4 linked regions of the Drosophila melanogaster genome follow. The protein of the gene in region 1 interacts with the protein of each later gene in a pairwise test. Each region holds a gene or a part of one and is shown in the gene's direction. Other genes may lie near its edges. The genes, in order: slou, CG34168, eEF1alpha1 and CG31008.

What was found.
Region 2: the proteins of slou (region 1) and CG34168 interact in a two-hybrid assay, tested with the Drosophila melanogaster proteins (one large-scale study listed by BioGRID).
Region 3: the proteins of slou (region 1) and eEF1alpha1 interact in a two-hybrid assay, tested with the Drosophila melanogaster proteins (one large-scale study listed by BioGRID).
Region 4: the proteins of slou (region 1) and CG31008 interact in a two-hybrid assay, tested with the Drosophila melanogaster proteins (one large-scale study listed by BioGRID).

Annotation. Positions count from the first base shown.
Region 1 is NT_033777.3:21,553,730-21,559,477, reverse strand, and holds the start of slou (slouch), read left to right. Parts: upstream 1-2,295; 5' UTR 2,296-2,619; coding exon 2,620-3,846; intron 3,847-4,687; coding exon 4,688-4,946; intron 4,947-5,748. UniProt on the Drosophila melanogaster protein: May play a role in specifying the identity of particular somatic muscles and neurons of the CNS.
Region 2 is NT_033779.5:16,134,043-16,137,572, reverse strand, and holds CG34168 (uncharacterized protein), read left to right. Parts: upstream 1-2,300; 5' UTR 2,301-2,411; intron 2,412-2,478; 5' UTR 2,479-2,484; coding exon 2,485-2,667; 3' UTR 2,668-2,859; downstream 2,860-3,530.
Region 3 is NT_033778.4:11,888,717-11,896,370, forward strand, and holds eEF1alpha1 (eukaryotic translation elongation factor 1 alpha 1), read left to right. Parts: upstream 1-2,418; 5' UTR 2,419-2,528; intron 2,529-2,679; exon of another isoform or gene 2,680-2,749; intron 2,750-3,405; exon of another isoform or gene 3,406-3,468; intron 3,469-4,406; exon of another isoform or gene 4,407-4,479; intron 4,480-4,825; exon of another isoform or gene 4,826-4,838; 5' UTR 4,839-4,858; coding exon 4,859-6,250; 3' UTR 6,251-6,804; downstream 6,805-7,654. Other genes in the region: ERp60 (endoplasmic reticulum p60), read right to left, coding at 233-673, 1,955-2,103; MCPH1 (microcephalin), read right to left, coding at 7,409-7,654. UniProt on the Drosophila melanogaster protein: This protein promotes the GTP-dependent binding of aminoacyl-tRNA to the A-site of ribosomes during protein biosynthesis.
Region 4 is NT_033777.3:30,988,743-30,992,281, reverse strand, and holds CG31008 (uncharacterized protein), read left to right. Parts: upstream 1-2,275; 5' UTR 2,276-2,365; coding exon 2,366-2,710; 3' UTR 2,711-2,804; downstream 2,805-3,539. Other genes in the region: CG31007 (uncharacterized protein), read left to right, coding at 1-395.

The DNA of each region.
Region 1 (5,748 bases):
TAAGGGAAATCCTATAAATAAATTGGCAATAATTTAATTATCGCATAATTATGCAGATGACCGCGCACTTGTGCTTTTAATTGCCTTTTGTCGCGAGGTCAGCGGCTCATATTATCAGCCTATCGATTTTCCGATTTTCCCCATCGCTCTGCTAGCCTTTTATTTGCCTTTTAATTAGTTGTAAATCTTGCACAGCCTGTTGAAAGCCAACGGGAAAAGCAAACAGGAAAAGGGGCGGGCGGCCGCCATTGCATGCACTATTTATTTTAACAAGAGCTGCTCATTTAATACTTATTTTCACTAATTAAATGGAAGAGTAAGTACATCAGATAGTGAGCGAGAGAGGCAGAGAGAGAGCGAGAAAGGGAGACAGCGAGAGTGAGAGGGAGAGAAGGCCACATGCGACAGCAAGAGCAATTTTCCGCTTTTCCGCAGCGCCAAAAGTTTGATGTCTATGTAAACAGCGGCTTTCGTGTGTGCGTCTGGCGAACTGCCAATTTTGCCGGCCCACTCACACACTCACACTTATGCATACATGCACACATACATATGTATGTATATGGACATTCTATAGCGTGTTCCGTATACGTCGGCTGTTTGAGCGCACTTAAATAATGAATAATGACGAGACAAGCAATTAAAATAATTTGCGGTTTTACCGTGCGTATGCGCATCATTTAATTTTGCATGTAAAGAGTTAAGCACTTATTACACAGCGAGAAACGGGCCCAGCCAAAGGATGATGTCCCACTGTCGTGGATGAGCAACCGAGTGTGATAATGCGCTGAGTGCGGAGTATAGTATATACGAGATTCCGCCATCAATGGGCCAATTAAAATGAGTGCCCGACGCTCTGGTGTTGGTGGCCAGCATCTTAAAACTAATTAAAACGAAAAACGGCATAACAAGCTGCTCATTAAGCATCCGAGTTCCCTTCGCCACCCCGATCTGCGGTTAATTATAGAAGGAAGAAGACGAGCCTTGCTAACGAGCGGCGAAGTGAAGCCAGTGGATATATAGAAGCAGTAGCTAACACCCAACATTCCAGCGTTGGAGTTCATTAAGCAGCGCCCGGTGTCCATTTAACGATGTCACTTATACGCCCCATTGTCCCCACAACCAAAAACGAATCAGAAGAAAAACCCCCAGAGCCGAGTGGCCTATCCCCAGTGAACCAGGCATCCAGCTATCCATTCATTCACCCCTCGACCACCCAGCCCGCCCCACTGAAGGCCACTGCTGCGATGCGTATAAACCGCAAATTGGATGCGATATTAAATCGTCTGTGCCAAAGCGCATATAAATTTTTGTTCAATTTTAAAGAATTTTCCGAGAGCGAGCAGGCGCAGGAGTAAGAGAGAAAGAAGCCCGACGAAAGAGAGAGAGAGAGAGTGCGAGCAGAAGAGCACGGCTATAGTGTGGCTGTCCCCCTCGAACGCTTTGAGTTTTACATAGGAAGTGTCAAGGAGAAAAACCACAAGGATGTGTTTTTTTTTCGTTCGAATAATAAAAGAGAAAGAAATCAAAAGCGAAAAGTAAATAAACCAACTAATTAGCAACATAATTACGGCCACGAAAATATTCAAAAATTCAATTAAGCTGAAGAAAGCACAAAGCATTCATGCATAAATGACTAAGAACAAACCAGGCATGCCAAAAGCAAAGCAAACTCAACACACAACTGGCGAAAATATGAAACAGAAAAACATATAGTACAAATAAATAAAAACAAGAACTGAGAGAAATGTGCAAAAAGTTGAGATCCATTTCGCAAGCACCCAACCGCATAAACAAACAAATTTTGCGCTAAATAATTTGACAATTACTCACATCCTCGGGAGGCGAAGGCTGCACGGATGGCTGGACAGCTGGCTGGCTAGCTGCGTGGCTGTATGGCTGGCCTTTGTTTCCATCGGGTGGCTATTACAGTTGAGTGAAGAACTATGTAAAACAGCACTCCGGAATCCTCTCCTCTCCTCTCCTCTCCTCTTCTCACGCGCTCGCATCCTGCCGCTCTGTGGCTTAGACTTGCGACAGACCATTACATTTGCTAACGAGTGGAAGGCAAATTAAATCATTAGATGCTAGTAGAGATTAGAGCCACGGCGGGGAGGAGCCAATCCACTCAAAGAACCACTCAGCGGTGGGCGTGTAGAGCGCCGCACAGAGAGTCACTCAAAGCAAAAACCACCACCATACCACGATAACTGCCTCCACCACCACCACCACCACCACCATAACCAGCACTACCACCAGAAGCAGAAGCAGCAGCAGCAGCAGCATCAGCATTTAGCTATTGACTTGCCACAGGCACACAACACGGCACATCTGTTGGATTAAGAACTCGGAGAAATCGGAAACAACCCTCATCATTACGCTTCTGGCTCTTGAGCGTGTGAGTCGTCGCGCGCGGATTACGACCAGGATAATCGGACGTCGGACGACGACGGCAGCAGCGGCAGCATAGGCAGCGTCCACGTCGGATATTGGCATCTCCGGATTCAGTCGATTGGCTGCCCTCAAGGTGACAAGACACGCAACGCGCAGTGAACACTCAGTGAACTCGAACTCTCAGTGAACGCCCAGTGAATCCAAGACAATATATCCAAAGACCCAAAAATGGTCATGTTGCAATCGCCGGCGCAAAAGGCCAGCGATAGTGCGTCAGCCCAAAACACAGCCGTCGGTGGCCTGATGAGTCCCAACTCGAACCCGGACTCGCCCAAGTCCAACACCTCGCCGGATGTGGCGAGTGCGGACAGTGTGGTGTCCGGCACAGGCGGTGGCAGCACTCCGCCAGCGGCCAAGATACCCAAGTTCATCATCAGCGCCAATGGCGCAGCGGTGGCGGGAAAACAGGAGCAGGAGCTGAGGTACTCCCTCGAACGGCTCAAGCAGATGAGCAGTGAATCGGGCAGCTTGCTCAGCCGCTTGAGCCCCTTGCAGGAGGACTCCCAGGATAAGGAGAAGCCCAATCACAACAACAATAACAGTCTAACTAATCACAATGCAAACAGCAATACACGTCGCTCGCAATCCCCTCCAGCATCGGTGGGATCCGTAAGCTTCTCCTCGCCAGCCCAGCAGCGAAAGCTCCTGGAACTGAATGCTGTGCGCCACTTGGCAAGGCCGGAGCCACTGCAGCATCCTCATGCGGCCCTGCTGCAGCAGCATCCCCACTTGCTGCAGAATCCGCAGTTCCTGGCCGCCGCCCAGCAGCACATGCACCATCATCAGCATCAGCATCACCAGCATCCCGCACATCCGCATTCGCATCAGCATCCGCATCCACACCCTCATCCGCATCCCCATCCGCATCCGTCGGCGGTCTTTCATTTGAGGGCTCCCAGCAGCAGCAGCACTGCCCCACCCTCGCCGGCCACCTCGCCCCTGTCGCCGCCCACATCCCCGGCCATGCATTCCGACCAGCAGATGAGTCCACCCATCGCTCCCCCCCAAAATCCGCCACATTCCTCGCAGCCACCACAACAGCAGCAGGTTGCCGCACCATCGGACATGGATCTCGAGCGGATTAAGCTGGTGGCTGCGGTGGCAGCCCGCACCACTCAAGCTTCCAGCACCTCCGCCTTGGCGTCCGCCTCGAACTCCGTGTCCAATGCCAGCATCTCCATCTCCAACTCCAGCTCCGGATCGCCCAGTGGACGCGACTTGAGCGACTACGGATTCCGAATACAGCTGGGTGGCCTGGCGGCGGCGGCAGCTGCTGCGGCGGCCACCTCGCGTCAAATTGCAGCAGCCACATACGCGAGGAGCGACACCAGCGAGGAGCTCAACGTCGATGGCAACGACGAGGACAGCAACGATGGATCGCACAGCACGCCGTCGGTAAGATAACTAGATTTCAGTGCACTAAGTGCAAGGATTTCGTAAAATCATATAGAAAAAGTTTAGATTAAATGTTTTGTGATTTTAATATTAAGGTGTGCCAATTATACAAAATGGATTTATTAAAATACTGGTTCTAAAATGAAGGCTGTTAGTGAAAATTTGAAAACTTAAATAGCAAATTTATTATTAATGTTGATATTTATTGCCCACACAATTGGTAGCTTTTATTAGCGTTGGCTAATACAAATTGATTTTATGTTCTGCTCAATTAGCTTTTTTATTAGATTTTGCGTTCGAGTAATTAACCCAATTAACACTTGGTCGAGAAAATATGCCAAAATTAACCTTTTTGTATGTTTATAGCTCGATTTTGAGATTTTCATTTTGTTTTTAAGCGTGTGGTATGTTGAGGAATTTGATTTATATCTATAGATTTTTATTTATAATTGGTATACTTTTCCAAATATATTTTTTATATTTTAGTTTAACTAAATTATATCACCTAGGACAACTAAGGTACACAAATTTTAAGTAGTTTACCAGTCGGTGATTAAGGTATTCCTTTCAACACTCAATTTAAAAACTTACCAAGAAAAGGCAACTGGTTCTTAATTAAAGCTGTTATCGAAATAATTATTTGACTCATTTTTGCAACAAACCATCTTTACAAGGTAGAAAATTATTCAAAACAATTAGTTTTTAAGATCAGTTTGGCAATTAAACGTAGGATTTATTCAATGCAAAGTGGTGAATATTGCTAGCAAATAAAGAGCAATAATTGCTGTCAATGAATTCATTACTTAATTCTATATCCCTACTTTCCCCTATATCCTTGTAGGTCTGCCCAGTGGATCTGACGCGATCGGTGAACAGCAGTGCTGCGGCGAATCCGAGTTCGGCCTCCACGAGTGCCTCCAGTGATCGAGATGCGGCCACAAAGCGGCTGGCCTTCTCCGTAGAGAACATACTGGATCCGAACAAGTTCACGGGCAACAAGCTGCCAAGTGGTCCTTTCGGCCATCCCAGGCAGTGGAGCTACGAGAGGGACGAGGAAATGCAGGAGCGATTGGATGACGATCAGAGCGAGGATATGTCTGGTGAGTGGGGATATTTATTACTCAACTGACTTAGACCCCGGCCCCACACCCAATGAGTCCGCAATCACTTTGATGGTTAGCTGTCTGATTTGATTGAAATCGGGGGAAATTCAGGACACACCAACCAGGCACGTTCCCCCGAGTGTCTCTGTGCAACACTCCGTGCTCGAGTACACGGGCAATGAAAGGGGATGGGCAGGACACCTGCAAACAGCTCGACTTCCCATCCGCATCTTCTGTTTTTTCTGTGCCCGGGATTCCTGTGGGTGGTTGAAGGCACATGTTATATTTATACTGCTGCTTGTATCGTTTTTGGGTATGTTTTGATTTTGAATTTGGCTTTCCGTTTTGCCAGCAGCACCCTCGAAATCTGGGACTCTGCCATTTCGAAGGCCCTGGGATTTTTCGTGTTGCCTGCTTTCCGGCGCAAGTCACGTACATATGTAGGTGCGGATGTGTGTTGATGCTTGTGTGTTGTGGTGTGTTTATGTTAGCAATGAAAGCATTTATATTTTGCGTGTATTCAATGGCAAACAAATGCGCAAATGCCAGAGCAATCAAAAAAAAATACAAAAATCTCCGATTTGGGAGGCTGGCACTCTTCGTTTTTCCAACGCAAACTTGTTTAGACCGAAAAAGCTGCACTCATATCCAATAAGGATTTTCAATAGAATTGCTTTTAATTGATTGATTGATGTTTTAATTGGGGAAAAACCATTGCCAGCTGGGAAGCTAAATTTCCTTTTTTCACTCTCTGTTTTCCCCCCACCAACTGTTTGTCTTGCTGCGGATCAGGTTTCGG
Region 2 (3,530 bases), on another chromosome or scaffold:
GAGTGATTGAGCAGTTGTTTGGTTGTTCACTTCAGCAAAACATTCAATGCATAACTACAATGGGCATAAGTTATGCTTCCCTGCAGAAATACCATTGCAATGGCGGTGAGCGAAAGGGAAAATGCAAGCAAGGAGTTCACTTGACTCGCCCACACAACGATAATCATGTTGTTGATGCCGATGCACGGACTGCTGTAGATATAGATATGGTATCCTGATTCACTGAATCACTAACAAAGTCAGACAGCATCCATTTCCACTGCGCCTGACTGCAAGTGCTTCGTCAATAAAAGTCCCCATCGCTGGATTATTCAGACAGGCAAGTGACCACAACAGACTTCCTTTGAAGGTATTTTGCCAATTTATTAATCAGAAATCTATTTTTACTACCCGAAAATTTCCTTTGTTGTCGATAGTAATAATTATATTTTAAAGAGTACAGATTGTGTATTAAGTTTAATTTTTATTTATAAGTTACATAAATGAATAATTAATATTTTATGGTTTTAAATTAAATAAAGTTTTCTATTTGACTATGTAGAATCTATGTGAGCACTTGTAGCTTTCCTCATATGTATGTATATTTTAAAATTTATTGTGCAATTATGCATTATTAGTTATGATTAAACATTTTAATGGAGTTTTCTTCCGCTTTTAAGCTGTGAGTTACAAACAAATAAATCAAAAACATAAGAACGGAACCAAAAACTTATCGCTCCAAAACTTCCGCTGCACGGACGCTCATAAAATGGGGGACATTGAACTTCTGAGCGGGCTGAAAAAGGCATTGCTGAAAACTGTAAAAATACCAGCGAAGAAGCCGGAAAAAAACAGTGGAAAAAAGTCACATCAACACGAAACATTAAGCTTCACAGTCACAACATATTCGGCTCTTCGATGCATTTTCCTTAAAGTCGCCATGGAGTTCAAATCGAATGGGAGCGCACGCGCCTGCGAATATGCAATGCTGTAATACGAGACCAACACGCGATGGAGATGATGTTTGGTTACGGAAGGGGATACGGGAATTTTCCCGGGGTATTCGGGGTTCCGGAATCGGAACAGAAAATAAGCTCAACCAGACCCAAAAGGCCACCAAACGAACGGGCTATTTACGAAGGGCGGAAGTGCTTTAATTTAATGTTGGTAAAAGATAAGAAGTTAATCCGATCAAATTTTCTTGGCCTTTCCTTCATTTAATTCGATTAAGTAATAGATGAGATAGTGATGTTGGAAAATCGATGTACATGAGCTTTATAAGTAAATAAACTTGTAAAATGTACAGAATTCTTCATCCTTCAGAGTTTTTTTTACTTATTTTCTTAAACTCATAAAAATTAGGAACTTCGAGATGGATTAATTTACACTCAGCCTTACAGCTTATTTGGGTGAAAACGTGAAAAGTGTTGGGGTAATCGACTCAATTAGCTATTGCATAAGCACACTTTGCACACTCCCGCGCCAGCCAAACAAACACCAAACTCAATTAGATGCCATAACTAAATAATCACAAACACATTTACGCCAGCAAGAGCTCTTTTCAGTTGAAGCAGACCGGTTGGTAACCAAGAAACGTGGCAAAAAAAAAAGAAAAGAAAACAGAGAACCAGGTCAACAACAGAAACAACATGAGCAACAATTTTGAAACAATGAAATGACGACAACGACAGAAGCGGCAAGGCATGCCTGGAAAATTGCTTCCAAATGCTCAGAAGCCAGAGTGGAAATATGGGTAGAGTCGGAAAAGTGGGTGGCCTGGGTGGCTGGGGGACATTCCAACATGTGACGCACGTGACAAAACTTGTCAAGTGACTTTACTTCACTTTGACTGCGAATCCCGGCTCTGTTGTCCGTAAACAAGAAGACGGAATCCCGGCTGTGAAGAAAAATAGGTTTGTGTGCATTGCCCAACACAAAATGCTTAAGAAAACTCTGCTCTTGGTAAAACAATGAAAGGTGGGGCAAAGAGGAAAAATCAGTCGCGGCTTGGCTTTTCCGACTTGTTGCGCCTTCGGCTAAATTATGACATCGAGAGTTTTAGGGGAATGGGAAGTCCTTCGGGACGGACTGAAGTATTTTTGGAGGAGCAATGGAGTGGAATTTTATGGGACACACAAACAATCGGGAACGGTTTTATGAATTAAAATTCTTAAAGCGAATTAGATAAGAGGCTAAGAGGCTAACTGTATATATAGTTAATCAAATTTTAAAATTTGGAAAAAAGCATTTTAAAAGCAGGCCATGAAACCACAACATAGAAGGCCATGAAATCAAAGTTAAATCTGTAGAACTTTGTGGACCAAGCTAGTGGCTTTAGCTCATTATAGTTTCGGTTCTCCAACAGAAAACATCTATTTGTACGACTACCAAATTTCTAGGACTGAAAATCCTACTTCCGTAATCAGGCTAATGTGAGTGTGAACAACAAACGAATTTGTTTCTTGAAAATATCCTCGATTCGTTTCATTTCGTTTTCAGAATAAAATGTGCAATCCAGGAATGTGCTCGATGCCCGGCACTTGCTGTGGACCGACTGGCGGACTGGGACCCTGCCTGCTCTGCGGACCCTACAATGGCCAGTGGTTCCGTTCGGTCAACCACTGTTGCGGTCCTTGTGGCCCATATGGTTGCTGCTCATGCTACGGGCCGTATGGTGGACATTGTTAGCCTGCTTAGAAGGAATGTAGGGTTTCTTTATCCGCGATCTGGAACAGGAGCTTTAAAGATTGCAGCCGTGAGGCCTTGTCGAAGATGAGGAGCCACGCTGAAAAGTTGTCAGGCAAAGTGGATCCAAAGATTTGTGTTCGATGAAAGATTATGCCATCAGAAATAGATGTTAATAAATTATACGTATAATTCAAAAATAGACCACTTTAATTTCACTTCACATGTATTGCTATCAACAGTTAGCAAACCTAATTAAATATTTGGCATGCATTCTGTGGAAACAATCACAAAATTCCATCTCGTAATTTGCCGTTTTTGGTTTTCTTTTCAGTCCGCCGGGTGCATTTAAGGCTAAACCCCATTTGATTGTAAATATTTGGCTCGTTTACGGCTAACGATACATCGGGGACCAGCCAAAAAGACGTGTAATGCTAATGGGCCTGTTGAGTGCAAATTTGTTTACGAGTAAAACACCACTAAAACAGATGGGCTTGCTGATTGCTTTCAATTTTATTTAATCGAGGCACCCCGCATCAGATCGACCAGAAAAATTGATATCGTTAAACATAGTGAACAACAGAAACGGTAAGTTTAAAGAGTATATCATCGTGATACGGCTACTTGGTGCGTTTGAGTGCTTTGCTAAGACTGGGGAAATACTCGTCACTGTTGAGATCAGGAGCTTGAGGTTTTCCGGACATCTTGGATGGAACCTTACGCAGACGGCTCTCAGCCTGATCCCGTCGATTGAAGTCACCTTGGCTCTGGCGGAGAGCAGGTGGTATGTAGATTTGGCTCTTTACCTCGGACGGTTCTTTCTTATTCGGTTGCTCCACAGACATCGGCTCCTTTAGCTTCTGCTG
Region 3 (7,654 bases), on another chromosome or scaffold:
ATTTTAATTACTTACATTAACACATTTTAACATAAAAACCTAAAAGTGGAAACTTTTTGGAGAAAACTTTGGAGCAAGTTAAATGAACAATGAAATGGATGAACCTTTCATTACATTTAAACAAATATGAAAATCCCAACTAGGCTCTAGTTTATTAACACTTAGAAAATATATAAAACGAAAAACACATAATACACAGATGTACGAGTCTTGATTAGAGCCTCCCACTTACGTTTCGCCCTGCTTATCGAGGACTTCCTTTTCGCTTGAATGTCCGAAGCGGTACTTTTCGCGGTTCTTATCGGCGAACTTCAGGAAAATCTTGGCCAGTTTGGAGTCGCTGTCGCTGAAGTAGCCGAACAGCGTGGTGTCCTTGGTGTCCAGGAACTTTTTCAGCTCGGCAACGGTGCGCACGGTCTTGGAGGCGGGTCCCACTTGGGCGCGCATGTACTTGGCAATGCCGCTGGCTTCGCGTGGTCCATTGTAGTCCTGCGACACCTCATCCTGACGGAAAATCTTCAACGTTGGGTAGCCGCTGACGGAGTACTTGCTACACGTTTCCTTTCCAGCTTCCGTACAGTCAACCTTGGCCAGTTTGATTGGCGGATCATCGTCTTTCACGATCTCCGCCGCCTTGGCGTACTCGGGCTTCAATCGCTTGCAGTGGCCGCACCTTAAACAGGAAAAAACACTCTGTTAGGACACGTCACTTAAACATTATGTTGGTAACAATACTATCTAATTCATCATTTGTTATCAAGGCAACGGGAAGACAAGTTCCCAAAAAACTAGCTTGTAATTAAAGTAAGGGTGCTGGAATTATCAACTGTCTTATCACACAAGTACAAGTGCCCATTAGGCATACAGAGAGAAAAACGACTTGGTACTTATTTGAAACAGCAGAGTATAGTCTGCACTCTTAGCAGTGCAGATAATAATTCATTTTTGATAAAGATAAGTGATGCCTTAAGTTAACTATGTTATAATGAAAAGAGCAGTTTTATTGCAGTGTACAACTTTTTCAACTTCATCCCTGTGTATTTATGCTTGAATACTGATAAGGTTCGTCATGAGGGAATCAAGTCTCCATGCCAAGTAGTTCAACAGCTCTTTGGGGATTTCGAAAGCCGGCCGGCAAAAAAAACGCTAATAATTTACCTAGTTCATTGTCCAAGTGTGAGCTTATAGTTTACCCCTGATAATGGGCAAACAAATGGCTCAAAAGAGAGTAAATAGGCACAGTAAATATGTGTTATGTACTAAACAAAAATGTATTAAAAGGTTATTGTGTTCAGTGTGGATTACGATGGAAGTTAAAAATGTGTCTACTGACATGAGAAATTTATAGCACAATCAGCATAACTTTTGTGAGTAGGCAGGCAATTAAAATTGAAGTTTTAATATGGTTGGTGTAAACTGTTGGGAAATTACATTTGTATGAGAACTGTGAGTGTTTCAGACTATGATAACCAGTTTCAAGCTAAATCTAAGTTAACCCTTAGAATTACACATTCCTGGGATTATGGGTATAATGCATAGGCATAAGAAACTATAATAAAAGATGCGCTATGTACACTGGGGCCCCTATGCCTGCTCACTATCATTAGCCAGTGGACAAGTGGAGCAGGAATTGCACGGAAATTGTACCAACTAGGCACTTTGGCACCCCGCGCTCTAAAATGGCCGACGGCACCAATACTGGCATATCATCATTGCCCCTCTCTTTGCGTCTCGTTTCGTTCCGTCACTCGTTCCTTCTTTATTTGCCGGCAAAAGCAAGGCAAACGCTGACGTGTACTTTGCGCTTGCGATGGCCGGAAAATCGGGCATCGGTCGGCACTGGGCATTGGGAATCGAATTAAGTTGCGGACGCAACAAGCGGATTATACGCGAATCGCACACGCAATGCATTTGTTGTAGGATGGCGCCCGGCCACGCCCACTCACTAACTCACCAGGGGGCGTAGAACATGACCAGCGTCGTCTCGTGTTGTTTTAGGGTGGTGGCAAAGTCGTCGTCCCCCAGTTCCAGGACATCCTGCTCCGCTCCGGACGAGATGGCGATGAAGCCTAGTAGGAGCACTCCAGCAAGGCGCCACATCATTATTTGGGTTCACTTGAAGCGATATCGGTGAATAATTCAAGTTCAACTAGGCCGTCGAACGCCTACTTCTACAACAAAAACTGAGTACCGGACCGGTTCGGTATTTTTCAACGATTGAATTCGCTTTTTGCCTCTTTCGCCACGTCGCTTCTTATTCTGTTTCGTCGTAGTGTGGCCAGGTGGGGCTAGGCCGAAAATGTCTAAAGTTGGAAAAAGCTCTCAGTTGTGAGCTTTCCTGCATATGTAAACAATAAATAAAGATGGCTCATCATTTATTAATGACTAATGTCTATATGTGTGGGTTTTAAATGCTTTAGCTATAATTCTTTCCAGTCACACAGAAAAGTTGAGATCTAGATTTAAATTAATTTAATTGATACCGATTTATAATAAAATTTTGTCAAATTATCATTTCATAAAAGATGGTAATTGCATTTATTGTTAACTGATTTCGCAAGCATAACAATAATCATATTATTAATAACTAATTAATTAATTTCACAAAATTAGGAAAACACTTAGGAACTTTTAATTGCGTCCTATATAAGGGGCAGGCTAACAACTTTTGTTCTATGCACAATGAATAAATTTATTGAGTACAAGTGAAAACTGAGTGAAAAAATAGTCTAACAAAAAATATTAAGCAGTAAGTTACAAATTCAAATAAATATTAGCATTCTGATGAATTCCAGAAGAAAAAGTATTAAAACGTGAGATCTTAAGTTATAAATTTTTACAATATTGTATAAATTGATACAATACCAAATTACTTATAGTTTTATTTGTAGCATATTTTAGTTGTAGCAACGGACGCCAAAAAATGTATAAATAAATGAAACGTATTACATAAATTTAAACGATCTCAAGCTTCTATTGTTATTTAAAGTTCTATTACGTTAGGGTTCACATACAAATTAAAGTTCAGGTTCTAGTCTAAAAGTTCAAAATGCGGACTACTAATGCAATTGTTATAGTTTTTAAATATTAAGAGATATGTGTTCCAATATTACGTATAGAAATTATAGACATCGTTTTGTAGAAAATATTTTTGGAATCACTGATTATTTAGTTTTTCATATAAAAACAATGTCGAGCAAACAAGGTTTTTTAAATCCCTCAATCGTTAGGTTATTGTATTTTGCCACTTTCAATCACTTAAATTTCAATAAAATGAAGTGCTTCATTCGCGCGTAGTGGAAACACCGCAGTGAGAACACGGTTTCTGCTCTTTTGACAGTTGCGTAGCTTCGGTCACACCATGTGTCAAACGAGGCTTCCTGTGCTGAGCTCTGCCGAACGCTCGTTCACTTTGTTCGAATCCGTCGCCGCTTAGACTTCGTGATTTCTCATTCAGCTTATTCGAGAGTAAGTTTTACCTGCGAGGCTATAATTAAGTAATTTCTGCAACGGGACTGCAGCCAGAAAACAATTTATAAACAAATATGCAGCTGAGACGCCGAATTTGTGCATATTTCCAGTGTTTTTCCTGTGTGTGTGTAATAAACCCGGAGATAACCTCTAACTGCGGTTTTCCAAAGTGAAAGGTGGCCATAGAAGCAAACACGTGGCAAGTCTGCAAAGGCAAAAATTTTAACTGGCGTTCCCAGTTAAAGTTCCCAGCATTCTCAAAATAATTTTCCGGCTTTTCCGGCCGCATTTTCGCCCTGCAATATGGTGCACTTAGTGTGTAATTACTTTGCCACGCCCACGCCGGACACAGAGGTCATCCACCAGATGTGCTCATTAACCGAGAAAAAAAAACGTGCTTTCTCTCTTGCCTTTGTCATGACCTATAGATATTCCTTATTCTTTCTTTTTGCGGCATGGAATTCTAAAATGGCGACCCAGTGGCGTGAGTCAAGTGGGCGAAAAAAATTCGCCTGGCAACAAGCGAAAAAATGTGCTTTTTTGGGTTTCCAGCCCATTAGCATATCTGGTGAAATGGCACTCGCATCAGCTATTTCGCCATTTCCAACCGACTCCATAATTGGTTTTGGTAAAATGGCTGCCGCTGCACTACGTTCTTGAATAATTCGTTGTGTGCCCCTCTCTTTTTCATTTCTTTCCAATTACCAATTGTGCCACCGCGGCGAGATCGCTTGCATTTGTACAAGTCACACACGCACACTAATGCACATCCGCCATTTTGGTCTCTCTCTCTCTCTATTCCTCTCTTACTTTTCCTCCGGCCGGCAACAGCGTCACACAAATACACAGGCATAGATATACACACGCATAGGCAGATAAGCACATGTGTATTTGCGAATTAAATTTGCTGGAATTTTCCTTTGGACTCTTCGATTTAACATGATGATGATTTTTCAGTTCTGCTACTGAAGACAGTTGACGAAAGCAAAAATACCAAAATCACTGAAACAAAATCGAGTTTCCATATGGAATTTTATTTGCACGCTCTTTTCTGTAGTTGCGCCCCACTCGTTTTACCCACACCCTTACATGCGGGCACTGGACCTAACCTCAAAAAACACGTTTTGTACGGCTGCAAGAGTTTGAGGTTAGGTTGTGCTCGCGCATGCAAACAAAAGTCGAACGTACGCTAGGGAAATGAGAAAGTGTTATACCCACTAATAATTGTAGTTGTAATCCCACCGAATGCTAACGAATTGTTTTACCCTTTGTTTATTCCAACCTCTCTTGCTCGCCAACCCGCCGAACCCTGCAACCTTCCAATGTTCCAACGTTCCGTCAATCCAACACTCGAATACACACAACAGCCATAGTGTAATCATCCAACATGGGCAAGGAAAAGATTCACATTAACATTGTCGTGATCGGACACGTCGATTCCGGTAAGTCGACCACCACCGGACACTTGATCTACAAGTGCGGTGGTATCGACAAGCGTACCATCGAGAAGTTCGAGAAGGAGGCCCAGGAGATGGGAAAGGGATCCTTCAAGTACGCCTGGGTTTTGGATAAGTTGAAGGCTGAGCGCGAGCGTGGTATCACCATCGATATCGCCCTGTGGAAGTTCGAAACTGCCAAGTACTACGTGACCATCATTGATGCCCCCGGACACAGGGATTTCATCAAGAACATGATCACTGGTACCTCGCAGGCCGATTGCGCCGTGCTGATTGTCGCCGCCGGAACCGGAGAATTCGAGGCAGGTATCTCGAAGAACGGCCAGACCCGCGAGCACGCCCTGCTCGCCTTCACCCTGGGTGTGAAGCAGCTGATCGTTGGTGTGAACAAGATGGACTCCTCCGAGCCACCATACAGCGAGGCCCGTTATGAGGAAATCAAGAAGGAAGTGTCCTCTTACATCAAGAAGATCGGCTACAACCCAGCCGCCGTTGCCTTCGTGCCCATTTCCGGATGGCACGGCGACAACATGTTGGAACCCTCTACCAACATGCCCTGGTTCAAGGGATGGAAGGTGGAGCGCAAGGAGGGTAACGCTGACGGCAAGACCCTGATCGATGCCCTCGATGCCATCCTTCCCCCAGCCCGTCCCACCGACAAGGCCCTGCGTCTGCCCCTGCAGGATGTGTACAAAATTGGCGGTATTGGAACAGTACCCGTGGGTCGTGTGGAGACTGGTGTGCTGAAGCCCGGTACCGTTGTGGTCTTCGCCCCTGCTAACATCACCACTGAGGTCAAGTCCGTGGAGATGCACCACGAGGCCCTGCAGGAGGCCGTTCCCGGAGACAACGTTGGCTTCAACGTCAAGAACGTGTCCGTGAAGGAGCTGCGTCGTGGCTACGTTGCCGGTGACTCCAAGGCTAACCCCCCCAAGGGAGCCGCCGACTTCACCGCCCAGGTCATCGTGCTGAACCACCCCGGTCAGATTGCCAACGGCTACACCCCCGTGTTGGATTGCCACACCGCTCACATTGCTTGCAAGTTCGCTGAGATCAAGGAGAAGGTCGACCGTCGTTCCGGCAAGACCACCGAGGAGAACCCCAAGTTCATCAAGTCTGGCGATGCTGCCATCGTCAACCTGGTGCCCTCTAAGCCCCTGTGCGTGGAGGCCTTCCAGGAGTTCCCCCCTCTGGGTCGCTTCGCTGTGCGTGACATGAGGCAGACCGTGGCTGTCGGTGTCATTAAGGCTGTCAACTTCAAGGATGCCTCCGGTGGCAAGGTCACCAAGGCCGCCGAGAAGGCCACCAAGGGCAAGAAGTAGCTGGTTTGCTTCCACTCAACAACAACAACAACACGCAGTAGTAGCAGCAACAACAAGCATATAACCAACATCATAATGCAGCCAACAACACCACTCAATAATACCAGCAACAGCAGCAGCGAACACAATAGTAGTATAACACCAACACCTGTCCTGCGCAAGATGACCGATAAGATGATGTTTCAGCAGAAGCATAAGTTTAATTTCTTCCATCGAAAGGAGTTTCGACGGATACGAATGCTAAATGCAGACGAGGCCGCCTAAATTGGGAAACGGTGGATCCCAAGGATAAGAGTGCACACTGGGAAAACACTTGCATTTATGCATCCACTCCTCATCCACTTCCCCGTCGATCTTTAGTTTACTAAATATGGTATGATGCACGGAGTTGACTTCGTTTTATCATATCATATATAGGAATCCTCTGTAGCATTTATGATATCGTTTAAATTAACCTTTATACTTTGATATGTATCATTTATCTTACCCTACTTTTGCACACACTACTTTGTACACAAGAAAAGAACCAGAATAGAAGCGATAACTATATTTACAAAAAAAATAAAAACCCTATTTTTGTATTTCTTTTGTTTTTACCACCCAGCCCGTAAAAGAGCACTCTCTTTGCTTGTTGCCTCCCGATTTTCAGCGCCATGATCGATCGTCCCTAACTCCAAGTTCACTTATCGTCGATGCCACAAAGTACAAACAAGAGCTAGTCGAAGAGTACAACAATTGAATCTGACAACAAATACCTCAATCGTTTAAATAAAGCAAGCAATTGCATCTGAAGAATAATGAATATTTTTTATTGTATTTGAGGGGGGGGGGGGGGCTTTTATTTCTCATCGCAAATAGAGAAAAATGCATTGATTTATTTATTTAAATAATAACGAACGAAGTTGGAACAAGTGTTTTTTTATAATTTCTGTTTAAAGTTATGGGATATATTATTTCCTTCGTAAAATCTGTATAAAAACAAATTAAAAAATGTACTAGAAAATAAACTAAGATCGTAAAATACATATATGGATTTAAATATAACTATATTTACATTGGAGTAATTTGCACAAAAAGGTGAAACAGTGTGGGAAAATGGTACTCTGTGTGTCCTAGCTTAAATATTTAGTAAAGTGAAGTGGATGCACCCACTGATCTCTATTTGTCCAGCACAAACGGTGGATCGACGAAGTCGTGAAGGTGCCTTCTTTGTGTTTTGTCCTCATCGCGATCCCTAGGATCCTCGTACCGGATCCCATCGGCCGAGATAATGGCGCTCTTCATAAGATATTTGCCAAAGCGCTGAATTTGCATATTCGTGATGCTGTCCAGCACCCAGTAAGGATCGAGATAGACGCGATCGTCCTCGGCGCGCCGCTTGTCCCCGATGATGTACTTGGCCTT
Region 4 (3,539 bases), 9.4 Mb from region 1:
AGGAATCCCTGCCAGCTGCAGCTCCTGCTGCCTCGGCAGCCACCTCCACAGAGACAAAAGGTCCTAGCACAGCAGATAGGTTCAAGGACATGGCCACCACGGCGGCTGGCGTGGCAGCAGGATCAGCTGTGGGCCACGCTGTGGGCGCAGGACTCACGGGAATGTTCCAGGGACGTGGTCAGGCAGCCCCGGCCAAGGAGCAGCCTCAACAGGAGGGATCCTTGGCAGCTTCAGCTTCGCAATCAGTACCGAAACCTCAACTAGTGGAGGATGGTCCCTGCGCCTTCGAGCTGAGGCAGTTCCTCAAGTGCACCGAGGACAACAGCAGTGATCTCTCCGTTTGCAAGGAGTTTAACGAGGCAATGCAGCAGTGTCGGCGGCGCTATAATGTCTGAGATGCTAGGATGGTGACCTCATCCAGATTACAGAAGCAAATCAATGAGATTAATCTAAAGCATACATATATGTACATATGGTATTTAATTTGCAGTTGGCTACCCAAAAATAGACATTTTTTCGGAATAAAATGAAAATTTTTCGCCTTGTCAGACTGGTAGAAACATCCTTTTTGATCGGCGATCGAATTAAAAATTTTTTTTTTTTTCAATTTTTGCAAAAAATGATGATGTATTATAAAAAAGTGAAAATTTGGCAAAAAAATTTTTTTCTCAAAATTTGTAAAAAATTGATTGGGATAGAATGCTTAGAAAAACAAATGAAAAATCAGTGTGTTTCCCGACTTTTGTGGTCGATTTGGTGAAATTAAAACTCAAAATGTCTCCGGAAAGTGGGAAATAGACATGTTACAGTCATTCCTAACCAAATTTTGATATTCCTCCTCAATTGGTGCTATCTATCAATTTCGATTTACACTTTGAGCAATTGCCTTCCATTTTTTACGAGGACTGCGTAGAAAGAGCCTTCGGAGAAGCAAATTAATTGGCGTTATGCGGGCAGCCACCAGCAAGAACGAAGATCCATCCAACTCAACCCAGAGCTCAAGGCCATCCATCTTGCTTGCCGAAACATTATTGATGTTGATTGATTTATAAACAGTGCTGGGAGCGGCGAATCGAGTAGAGAGTTGGGCCGATTAAGTTGTAGCCAAAACAATAAACAAAATTAAATTAGCATCGCGTAGAGTTTTTCTTCACTTTTTCGCAGCTGAAAGTGGCAGCTGCTGTCGTCACATTTATTCACATGGCAGGCGGCTCACAATTTCAGCGAGCAAATATAATTTGCTTAAATATTCATAACAGAGTGAGTGGAAATTGTATAGTGCTGATGAACACGGACCCAGCATTTAAGGGGGAAATTCCCCACTCTCCACTGTGCAACATTAAACACAGCATCAATCAAGCGGCATTTGCAGCGGGTCTGTTTTCGCCTTTCTGCGGTTGGCAATAATTTAATGAAATATTCCGTTTGCCACATGAACTCGCTGCCAAAATTTAGCATATGGGGCACTGCGTAATTCGAATTAGGCCCAAACTTTTGGCAGTTCGGCTAATTGCCGCTGTGTTTTCGCTTCTCCCCCAAAAGCAAAAATAGTCACAACTCTAGCATGCTGCCAGCCAATTAAAGAATTTCCGTTGCACTCGCTAAAAGCAAAGAGGTTTGACTTTGTTGAAAGTCGAAAGCGTTAGTTCTTGCTGTCTGAAATACTCTTCGGGTAAAGCAATTTCCTTTGCGGTTCCACCAGCAACAAAAATCTAAAATCCATTTTGTTAATGTTTTTTGGGATGTTCATTAGGGTCCTTCGCTTAACTCAAAAGGGTGCGAGCGTAGGAAAAATATAAGAGACAAACAAAATTGTTTGAAGTTCAGACCATTTAACAATAAATTAGTATAAATAAGCTTTGTTGTTCAAAAGATTTCAATAGTAGCTCTGAACATTTTGTTCAGTGTATTTTGCGGGCCACATATCCCCACCAGATGAACCCCCCCTCCTTGTTGGAATTTTAAAAGGGAAGCCAGCTGGAGTTGTGTATTTGTATTGCTTTTATACCTCTCGCGTTTGCCGACAAATTCATTATGTGTTCGTAATTAGTGCGGGAAATGGGAAAAGCAAACGCAAAAAGTGAGAAGGGAAAACGAATTAGAATTCCTTTTTTCGTCCTCGCTGCAGGGTTCTGGCCACCAGGTGGCGCTGTTGCATGCACTTAGCAATTAGCTGACAGGGAATGCAATATAAATTAGCTGTCACAGCTGTAAAAGGATTCCCGGAGCAGGCCAGGTGTCTATGAGTAAGCCATCAAAATGGCACATGTGTCATTCGAAATTCTAATCTACCTTTTAAAAGTAAGTCTAATTCTGCTCGGCTTAAAATATACATAAATTTAAAGCCTGGAAAAGGGGAGAAAAGATGCCACGCAAACAGAGAAGTGCTTCGGTCAAAGCAGGCTCTACAAACTATATGCCTGCGGTGGTGCCCACCGTCACGAATTCCGAAATGGTCTTCAAGGAAGCGGCTGCCCACGCAGTGGGCGTGGCAGCAGGATCAGTCGTGGGTCATGCCATCGGATCAGGAATAACGGGGCTATTCAGGCGGCGTGACCAGCAGCCGCACCACAGCGATTTAGTCGAAGAAGGTCCTTGCGCCAAGGAAATGAAGGAGTTCTTGAAGTGCACCGAGGACAATGACGATCTCAGTGTGTGCAAGGAGTTCAACGATGCTGTGCGACGATGCCACCGCCAGTACAATATTTAGGAAGCTAGAAAGGGGAAGGGATTTTAATTTGTCAAATTATAAGACGTTAATGCGCAGCCTTACAAGTAACTCGCAATAAAATTTTAGTTACTAGACTTGCTAATAGTTTAATTATTTTACCCCTGCAGATACAGGGATAATAGTAACCCTATTGCTTCACAGACATTTATTAGAGCTCCGCTGCCATGTCATTGTCACTATAATCTGCGCATTACAGCCCGAAAACCCTTTTCCAATCATTAAATATTCCATTTTGTCCTTGGGTCCAATTTGAATAGACTTCAGCACTTCCAATCAAGTTCAGGCGATGTGGGTGCGCAATTAAAATGCTTTATGACAGGTCCTTCGTCCTTGAGCTTCCCCTGTTTTTTTTTTACCACTTTAAAGCTGCCCCATTGTCACATGCTCGCTGCTCCTTTGGCGCTGTTATTTTTCGTCATTCTCAGTTAATTGTGATTTTGTTTACTGTCATCCTTGCCTCTCCTGGCTCTTCTGGCGCCTGTCGCTCGACCCCTTGTCAGGATCTCGGCTTTGTTTGCCTTTCTACTTTGTCTGTGGATCCGGGCGCATATTTACTTTAATTTTGTTTTGTTATGTTACTTCACCACCGCCCAAAAATGAAACCCCTCCCCACCGATTTCAGCGTTGAACGCGCTTTTCTCCTCGCTTTGAGCGCTTTTGTTTCGCGTTTTCGCGTTTTTCCGTTTTTTTTTTTCGGTGGGCCCCAAACTTTTTCATTTTGTTTTTTTATCTGCTTGGCTTGCGCGCAATTAAGCCAGCGAAATGTTTTTGGCCACGTCAAGGCGACGACGCTGACATTGAGGACCCC